Linked DNA regions of Xenopus tropicalis. The protein of the gene in region 2 interacts with the protein of the main gene of each other region in a biochemical or structural test. Links are inferred from orthologs where the notes say so. Each region holds a gene or a part of one and is shown on either strand. Other genes may lie near its edges.

Region 1 (5,085 bases), on a different chromosome or scaffold from region 2:
GCCTAAGGCCTAAGTAAATATTTCCTTTCCCGCATTACACATAGAACAGAGACACACATTGTAGATTGAAACACTTACTTCAGACTTGACTACAGGTTGGGATTTTTTGACTTGCTGCAATGAACTTTTCTTCTTTTCAATGTAACGCTTTGCTTCTGAAATGTAGGTTGGGTGATACTGTTAAATAAGACTGAACAATACAGGGCTGCTTCTAGACATCTAGATTTCAGACTGAGGGACTCTTTACTAGGGATGCACCAAACCCACTTTTCACCAAACGGCCGAATACCAAACCGAATGCTAATTAGGATCGGGAAGGGTTAAACATCAGCTCACACTGAAAAAATCCCCCCCCCAAAAATGTAGCCCTTCGAAATGCAAATTAGCATATGCTAATTTATGCTAATTAGGATTCAGATTCGATTCAGCCGAAATCGAACCCTGCAAAAAAAAGGCCGAATACTGAACCAAATCCTGGTTACAGTGCATCCCTACTCTTTACACTTATCCTATGAGGATTCTGCCCTGCCCCCAAATACAAATCGACTTGCACTTGATATAGTCTTGCCACAAATTATGAATTAAAAAAAAAAATAAACATATATAACATATAATTATTTGTTACATATACAGATCCATCTCTCGCCATTTGCTTGGGAACTTATTCCTTTATGGCAAAGGTTATTAACTATTGACTTTATTTAGAAGGAAGATTTATCAACGCTCGAGTTTGATATTTTTTTTTTTTTAAAGATTCAAGTTTTTTGTGCTAAATGTGAACGTTTATGTTTGCTATACATCACATTTTTAATTTTTCCCCGCCACACACAGTATTTATAGATCATTTGCACTTGGTTTTGTAACTTTGAGAAAGGCTGGTTCTACAGCTGAAACGTCAGTTTCTCTTGTTCAATAAATGTCTTTTGTATTTTCATAAATCCTGTGAGACTTCTATATGTTCTACTTTCTATCGAAATTCTATGAGGATTGCAACCAGGCAAGTCTCTTTACCAGTAACACGAGTGCTGGCATTTTTATCTAATTATATATAATATACATACACACTGCAGTTACACACCTGGAAGGTGTCACTTTAAACAGAGTTGTTTTAAAATATTTCTAATGAATCAAGAACCAAATATGCAGATACTTACGTATAACACTGCATAGGAAATTTCCCAATAAAAAGCAATGTTACCTTATATAAATTGGGGTTGCTGGATAATGCTATTAAAACCAGTAAAAAGATAAATAAAATCAACATGCTGCATAGCTATTTCTAAGCATGCCGCAGACTGCTATGGTTTTTATACAGCTTGAATCCACACAATGTTGCCTATGCACAGGTTTATTATAGGTCATTTTTTCTATGTTTTTATAATAAAAAAGATGAAGCTACCAATTCATAGACATTGTTTGCAATCAATCCAAAAGAAAGAGAAATAGGGAAGAAGAAAAAAAAAGTCTTACCTTCAACATGAAGTATTTTAACTCCCCAGTTGAGGGCATTAGATAAAATACTATTTTTTGGTAGAATTTCCTGTGAAAATAGATACCAGAAGAACAGACTATATCAAAGCAGTTTACCATAGAAGAAAAAAAGAAACCACCATAAATATTTCTAAATTAAAAAGGAGAATGCCGTGGAACAAATCACCCGCTAATTTTAAAACAGGGGGTGTACTAAATGTTCCCTTTAAGCTGTGTGTTCGTGCACACACAGCAAATTGTGGTGCACACAAAGAAATTTGTATGAAAACACAACATTCTGTATCCATTCTGACCTGAACACACCATTTTTTAAAATGTGCACACAAAAGATATTTTTGCACACATAGCCAAGATGGAATTAGATATAACATTGGGCGTACTGCCCCTCTGAACAATCTGTAAATGAGCTATTTTACTAGTAACAAATAATAGACTGAGGAAAGCAAGAAAATATAAATAGTCATTAGCAAATGTAAGAGTCTCACCTGCTCTTTGATCGCCTTTTTCACTAAAGATTTCCCCCGACTTACAAGGCTCTGTTTACACAATAAAAAAAAAAAAAAAGTTCAGATAAATGTTATATTAATCAATATCTGAGAAACTTTGCTTTTTCCTGACTAAACACAGCACTTATGTGTAGTTTGACAAATGTTTTCTCTCATTGCACAAAGTTTCCAAAGACTTTTACAGCACAGCAACTCAAGAATTCTTGAGACACCAAGAATTCTCAAGTCAGTGGAGCAATAGATGGACTTCCATTTAAACACACACATTGATGTGTAATTAAATGGTTTAAACAGAACTTGCTGACAGGTTTGGGCACCCGAGCTTTAACCGAAAAAAAAATAAAAAATATGATACTGTTCCTTTAAGATAGGGGAACTAATAAATCATCCCCAAAAAAGGTCATGTGACATTACAGCTCTGGACAGATGAAACAAGCAAATATTTAGCAAATTATGCAATATTTTGGTCTATTTAATTTTGGTCAGATATGTATTATTTGCATAATAATTTGCAAATTAAATATCTGACCAAATCTTTGAGATGATAAAATATGTGTTTCTTCAAATGCTCGGTGTTCTGTGATGTGCATTTTCTACGTGAAATCTGCCCCCTTGTGCACAGCGGCAGGCTGACCCCCTTCCTGTCAGTGACTGTACACACAGGGCAGCACTGGGCTAACTGAAAGCTACAGAATGTTCTACCCCATTATAAGAATACACTTACTCAATTCTACACAAAGAAACTTGCATGATTTACATACTTTTCAATGTTAATAGACAATCAAGGATTTTGCACAGGACTTTGGACTAATGTAATGTTTCTATGTGAGCACAATTTAAAGTCAGAAGTTAATTTAGCCTGATACCTTTTCATTTTTTTTACTTGAATTTCCTTCTTGAGGTAATCGCCTATTGCCTGGGCTGGTTGAACTCTCTCCGGTGTTTTGAGCAGGTTCGGGACTCGGTACAGAACAAACATACTTCAAAGTCTTCACACATTTTGCTTCCTTTTTACTTGTTATAAGATAGCTGATTTCTTTGCTGAGAAATCCTTCAACAGTCTGAGAAAATATGGAGGGGTAACAATTTTAAGACATTTTAAAACAGATAACAGTTCCTTTCACCTGTTCACACCTCCCAGACAAGGCAGTATATCACAGCTTAATGCCAACGGCTTCTATAATTAGCAGGCAATTGAAGGTTCATTTACGAATTTGTAATGTAAAAAGTAATGAGTACAAATGCTAATTTCTAGCAAAACATTCTCTCTTGCAGCACAGGGGTAACAGATATTTAGTACTTCTACAGATGAGCCACTCAGAAATTTATCTGAAAACATCCTTAAAGGAGTAGTTCACTTTTACAAAATCTATTGCTTTCAAGTAGTAGTAAATCAGAAACTATAACTTTAACAGCTTTTAAGGGGAAGGAAAGTAAACATGGTAATATATCCAGCTGTGATAGAAAGCACACAATTGGTGTGTGTGTAAGCAGCACAAAATCAGCATAACGCAATGTTTGTATAACTTTTACTGCACGTTGGTTGCCTAGCAACAACATTGGCACCAACTTAGGTTTGTAACACACATGGTGCTGGTGTCCCTGATGAAAGTTCCAATCAGGAACAGAAACGTTGGACTGAATAAACCTCATTTTTCTTCACCTGATGACATTGGGTGCAAATCCCTTTGAGTGCCATCACTACCTACCGACATACATAAATAAAAATGTAATACAATACAATCTTTTACAATGAAGTAAAAGATACACTAGTTGCATTAAGTTTTTTATAGTTGACTTACACCTCCAAGTTCTTTTATGTCTTTTTCCAGTTTTTCAGATATTAATTTGGATGTTAGGTCAAGATAGAACACTTTCCCAGAAAAAGGTTTGCATATGTCTGCTTGAACTTTTCCAGTTGGATTCTTCACTGTTGCTACAGTGGATTTCATTTTCACACCTCGCCCATGTGGTGCTCCTTCAAAACAAGAGAAAAAGGCAATCTGTATTATTACAACATTCTCCGACAACTGTTTTCTTCTCTATCGAAAAAATGCCAAGCTTTTCCTTGAGCCAATAACCTAACTTAGAACTTTAAAGGAACAGTAACACCAAAAAATAAAAGCTTTTTAAAGTAATTGAAATATAATGTACTGATGCCCTGCATCAGTACAGGGAAAAGGCACAGGTTACATAGCCGATAACAGATAATCTCTGTAGAATACAGTGTTTTATCTATTATCTGCTATGTGCCTTTTCCCTTTTGAATGGCTGCCTCTGTGGCTACACGGCAGCTTTGTTTATATAAATTTCTGAGGCAAACATACCAGTTGTACCAGGGCAGGGCAGCAGTACATTATATTCTAAATTACTTTTATACGCTTTCATTTTTTGGTGTTACTGTTCCTTTAACAAAATACACAAATTAAAAAGGAAAGATGTATATTTACAAAAGGTGAAAATTTCAACTCACTGTTCCTTTGCAACTTGGGTCCCCTGCTAGCTTCATTTGCTTTGTCCTCCGGAGAAAGCACCACCTAAGAAAATGTAAGATCAGTTAACTAACTTGTAAATGCAAAGATTGGTCATCCCAATGGTATGCATTCAATACAAAACCATGCAAAACTGATAACGGGCCAAGTACAGTGGATGAGCAAATGGGAAAAATTACAAAGGATAACAGATTGTAAAAATATACATATAGGGGCACATTTACTAATCCACGAATCCGAATGGGAAAAATTCAGATTGGAAACGAACATTTTGCGATTTTTTTCGTAGCCGTTACGATTTGCTCGTATATTGTCGCGACTTTTTCGTATTGAGCGCTCGTAAACGGCAGGCAAACCTTTCAGACTTTGCATGATTTTGGAAGCCTCCCATAGGACTCAATGGCACTCTGCAGCTCCAACCTGGCCCAAGGAAAGTCACGATACTGAAGCTTGAATGAATCCGAAACTTTCGTACTCGGCGCGACAGCTACGAAAAAGTCGTGACAATTCACGCAAGTCGTAACGCTACGAAAAAGTCACGACAATTTACGAAAAAATTGCAAAATACCGATCATTACGGAAAAAATGCATTCGGA
Region 2 (5,085 bases):
ACAGAAACCCTACTATAGTTTATATAAATACCCCGCTGTGTAGCCCCGGGGGCAGCCATTCCTGCACTCGTACAACTGGGGTGTTTGCTACAGAAACCCTACTATAGTTTATATAAATACCCCGCTGTGTACCCCCGGGGGCAGCCATTCCTGCACTGGTATAGCTGGGGTGTTTGCTACAGAAACCCTACTATAGTTTATATAAATACCCCGCTGTGTAGCCCCGGGGGCAGCCGTTCCTGCACTGGTACAGCTGGGGTGGTTGCTACAGAAACCCTACTATAGTTTATATAAATACCCCGCTGTGTAGCCCCGGGGGCAGCCATTCCTGCACTGGTACAGCTGGGGTGTTTGCTACAGAAACCCTACTATAGTTTATATAAATACCCCGCTGTGTAGCCCCGGGGGCAGCCATTCCTGCACCGGTACAGCTGGGGTGTTTGCTACAGAAACCCTACTATAGTTTTAGTGCTGGGCGGTATGACCAAAAATTTATATCACGGTATTTTTCAAAATTATATCGGTATCACGGTATTTGACGGTATTTTTTTTTCCCCATGCATGATTAGGTGACCACCCCAAACACCCGCCACCCGCACCCCCCCACCACCCCAAACACCCCCCCCACCACCCCAAACACCCCCCATCCGCACGCAGCCCCCCCACCCCCCCGCACGTCCCCACCCCACCCCAAACGCCCCCCCATCCGCACGCACCCCCCCACCCCAAACACCCCCCCATCCGCACGCACCCCCCCACCCGCACACACCCCCCAACCCCACCCCAAACACCCCCCCATCCGCACACTCCCCCCAACCCACCCCAAACACCCCCCATCCGCACACACCCCCCCCACCCCCCATCCGCACACCCCCACCCCACCCCAAACAGCCCCCCATCCCCTTCACATAAATATAACCCCCCACCCCACCCCATCACAACCCCCCCAAACACAACCCATCCCCTTCACATAAATAACACCCCCCCATCCCCTTCACATAAAATATAATTACTTGCCAGGCACCCCCACCCCCGACAGCTCACATTGGTATCCGACTCTGAATGCGACGGCGCTTTTGTAGAGTGTGCGCGCTGACGTCACGTGCGCACCCGGAAGTATTCAAGCACACCGGTATGGGGGTATGTAGAAAATACATATCGGTTTAAAAAAAAAACACCGGTGATCGGTTTTTACCGGTATACCGCCCAGCACTATATAGTTTATATAAATACCCCGCTGTGTAGCCCCGGGGGCAGCCATTCCTGCACCGGTACAGCTGGGGTGTTTGCTACAGAAACCCTACTATAGTTTATATAAATACCCCGCTGTGTAGCCCCGGGGGCAGCCATTCCTGCACTGGTACAGCTGGGGTGTTTGCTACAGAAACCCTACTATAGTTTATATAAATACCCCGCTGTGTAGCCCCGGGGGCAGCCATTCCTGCACTGGTACAGCTGGGGTGTTTGCTACAGAAACCCTACTATAGTTTATATAAATACCCCGCTGTGTAGCCCCGGGGGCAGCCATTCCTGCACTGGTACAGCTGGGGTGTTTGCTACAGAAACCCTACTATAGTTTATATAAATACCCCGCTGTGTAGCCCCGGGGGCAGCCATTCCTGCACTGGTACAGCTGGGGTGTTTGCTACAGAAACCCTACTATAGTTTATATAAATACCCCGCTGTGTAGCCCCGGGGGCAGCCATTCCTGCACTGGTACAGCTGGGGTGTTTGCTACAGAAACCCTACTATAGTTTATATAAATACCCCGCTGTGTAGCCCCGGGGGCAGCCATTCCTGCACTGGTACAGCTGGGGTGTTTGCTACAGAAACCCTACTATAGTTTATATTACCGTTACTGTACATACAAGTCGTACTAACCGCATAAGTTTCATATCCAGAGGCTGAAACTGTGATGGCGGCTGCTTGCTGTGCTGATGGACGTATGTAATGTGCTGCGCCAGTCTAAGGGGATAAAGAATAAAGGAGTTAATCCAACAGATACCCTTTAAAGGAAAAGTTAAATGTTCTCATGTTACTTTTACGAGCCCTCACCTGAGATCGTTGTCCCTGTCCGGCTTGTCTTGGATCAGCCAGAGTAGGTCGAATCGGGACAGTAAGGCAGCAGGGAGCTGGATATTCTGCTCCACTGTCTTCTTTGGGTTGTACCTCCCGTAGGCAGGGTTAGCAGCAGCAAGAATAGAGCAGCGAGCATTTAGAGTGGTCATTATGCCAGCCTGGGGGGGGATTAAAGATATGTATTTTAATGCTATAATGTGTGGGAACTTTAGTCAAGACAAAATGGCAGTCAGTTTTAACTATCCACCGACCTTGGCTATGGAGATAGTCTGCTGCTCCATGACTTCATGAATGGCTGTTCTGTCCGTGTCCATCATCTTATCAAACTCATCAATGCAGCAAACCCCCTGATCCGCCAGTACCAAAGCTCCGCCTTCCAGTGTCATCTCGCCAGTCACTGGGTCTTTCATTACCGCTGCGGTGAGACCCACCCCGGAGGAGCCGCGACCTGTTGTGTACTGACCTGATGAAGTCAAAGCAGGGCGATTTGTAGAGGCGAGGCAGGCAATATATGACCGACAGCTCAGCTTAATTACAATTAACTCTCTCTTTAGCACTTCCCAGATATCACTCAGATGATAGAAAAAGGATTTTGAATTATTATTACTTAGGGTGACAGGTCCCCTTTAAGCTCTGCTGGTCTCATATAAACAGTAGCTTACCCTTTTGTGGCAGTTGAGACATCTGTGTAATTATAGAAAGTCTTCAGCTTTCCACTAGACAAGTTGGTCAATAGTCTTAGTATTAATGTTTGTATATATAGTTTATGCATGTGAGTGGATAGATAGGTCAGTGTGGGTCTGTATGTGAGTGGATAGGTCAGTATGGGTCTGTATGTGAGTGGATAGGTCAGTGTGGGTCTGTATGTGAGTATATAGATAGGTCAGTGTGGGTCTGTATGTGAGTATATAGATAGGTCAGTGTGGGTCTGTATGTGAGTGGATAGGTCAGTGTGGGTCTGTAAGTGAGTGGATAGGTCAGTGTGGGTCTGTATGTGAGTGGATAGATAGGTCAGTGTGGGTCTGTATGTGAGTGGATAGATAGGTCAGTGTGGGTCTGTATGTGAGTGGATAGATAGGTCAGTGTGGGTCTGTATGGGAGTGGATAGGTCAGTGTGGGTCTGTATGGGAGTGGATAGGTCAGTGTGGGTCTGTATGGGAGTGGATAGGTCAGTGTGGGTCTGTATGTGAGTGGATAGATAGGTCAGTGTGGGTCTGTATGTGAGTGGATAGATAGGTCAGTGTGGGTCTGTATGTGAGTATATAGATAGGTCAGTATGGGTCTGTATGTGAGTGGATAGATAGGCAAGTATAGGTTGTGTGTGCTGGGTTTACTTGGAAGGGTTGAACTTGATGGACTCTGGTCTTTTTTCAACCCTATGTAACTATGTCTTTGTTACAGAACAGACTAAGAGAAAAGAAATGCTGTTTACAAATAGCAGCTAAGCCTGAATCAAGGTACATAACTTCTACACTAGTCCTCCGTTACTCCAAACGGATTCCGACGACAGATCTGAACACTTACTCCGAGGTGCTAGACGATCAATATAAGAAAGCAGCTGTGATTTTGCAACTCCTGGGTCACCCATCAGGCAGATGTTAATGTTCCCTAGGGGGGAAATAAACATACACAGGTCAGTTTACCTGAAATGAACGGCTTCTATATTTTATATGAACTCAAACTAGGGGAAGGCTTAAGGTCCCCATACAGGGGCCGACAGCAGCTGCAGATATGGGTCCCTTAGACAGATTCGGCAGCTAAACGGCCCGTGTATGGGCACTACCGACGGGCCTGCCCGACCGATATCTGGCCTGAAATCGGGCAGATTCGAAAATCTAGTTGGATCAGCTTTTCCTATTCCCGACGTTATAATTCGATCATTTGGCCCCAGGGCCAAACAACCGAATTACCCTGGATTCTCCCGATATCACCCACCCGTAGATGGGGGATATCGGGAGAAGATCTGCTCGCTTGGCGACATGGCCAAACGAGCAGATCTTATGGTGTATGGGGACCTTTAGTCAATGATGCATACCTCTTATCTTCATGCCACGGGGAGAATTGTCAACTCCTCCCACTAAGAGCAGAAGTAGAGCCTTCTTCACATCCTCGTGCCCATAAATCTCAGGCGCAATGGAGGCTGCCAGCTTCTCATAGAAATCTTCCTCTGGTGTTACAATAAAAAAAGTCAATTAGGAATAAGGACTAAATACAAGATCTTCCTATAAGCAGCATAGAGCAAACAAAGCAGCAACTAATACAGTAGCTGTCAGTCTGGACCCCAGTTGATTTTTATTAAGTCAAAAGTGGGTCATACAGAGACAGTCTATAGCAGGACTCTGTCCGGTCGCGATGGACCAGACCGACGCATTCACACAGCACTTCCGCATCCCCAGCTTGATCGAGGTCCAACAGAAATCTGGGGGGGGGGGGGGGATCGACTGGTGGACCGCAAATGACGTATTGCCCACCCCTGGTCTATAGTCTATAACCTAGAGAAGTCAGTTCTTCCATACAGGGACTCCTCATCTGCTTACCAGTAATCTGTCGCAGCTCCTCTTCACTCAGCTCTTCTGTTCCGAGTTCATCATCCTCGGTCTTGTTCATTTTCACCAAACGGTGAGATTCGAGGTACGTCTCTGAAAGGAGCCCCTGTAGGAAAAACCACACAAATCACCAGTGAACCCCAAAATTATACAGTTATAACTCAAAAACCATTACAAGTTTGTAAGGAATGTATATTGCTTAGAATTAAGTTTTTTTTATAAGGCAAAAAAATATATTCTGGGTTGACTTGTCCTTCAAACAAATGCTTAGGTAGCCGCGGCCGGGCACTCCCCACAGTACAAAATTGATCATAAAATAGGAATATTATATAGGAATTGCTGTTCTTGTTTACATTTACTCACACAGAAACCTGTACATAAAACCCGCTAAAGGGTAATCCCACCTCACAGCAATATAAGGAAGCTGCTGAGCTAGAATGATGAATTGTAATAACTGTAA

Evidence for each region.
Region 1: of the proteins of mcm7 (region 2) and dbf4, one has a biochemical effect on the other in vitro, tested with the Homo sapiens proteins (2 studies listed by BioGRID). The link is inferred for Xenopus tropicalis from reciprocal best matches to the Homo sapiens genes MCM7 and DBF4.

The regions. Positions count from the first base shown.
Region 1 is NC_030682.2:29,280,575-29,285,659, forward strand, and holds part of dbf4 (protein DBF4 homolog A), read right to left. Parts: intron 4,535-5,085; 5' UTR 4,471-4,534; intron 3,976-4,470; 5' UTR 3,950-3,975; coding exon 3,800-3,949; intron 3,059-3,799; coding exon 2,864-3,058; intron 2,028-2,863; coding exon 1,977-2,027; intron 1,541-1,976; coding exon 1,471-1,540; intron 156-1,470; coding exon 79-155; intron 1-78. UniProt on the Homo sapiens protein: Regulatory subunit for CDC7 which activates its kinase activity thereby playing a central role in DNA replication and cell proliferation. Required for progression of S phase.
Region 2 is NC_030679.2:144,217,330-144,222,414, reverse strand, and holds part of mcm7 (DNA replication licensing factor mcm7), read right to left. Parts: intron 4,732-5,085; coding exon 4,617-4,731; intron 4,247-4,616; coding exon 4,115-4,246; intron 3,688-4,114; coding exon 3,604-3,687; intron 2,543-3,603; coding exon 2,331-2,542; intron 2,238-2,330; coding exon 2,056-2,237; intron 1,966-2,055; coding exon 1,882-1,965; intron 1-1,881. UniProt on the Homo sapiens protein: Acts as a component of the MCM2-7 complex (MCM complex) which is the replicative helicase essential for 'once per cell cycle' DNA replication initiation and elongation in eukaryotic cells.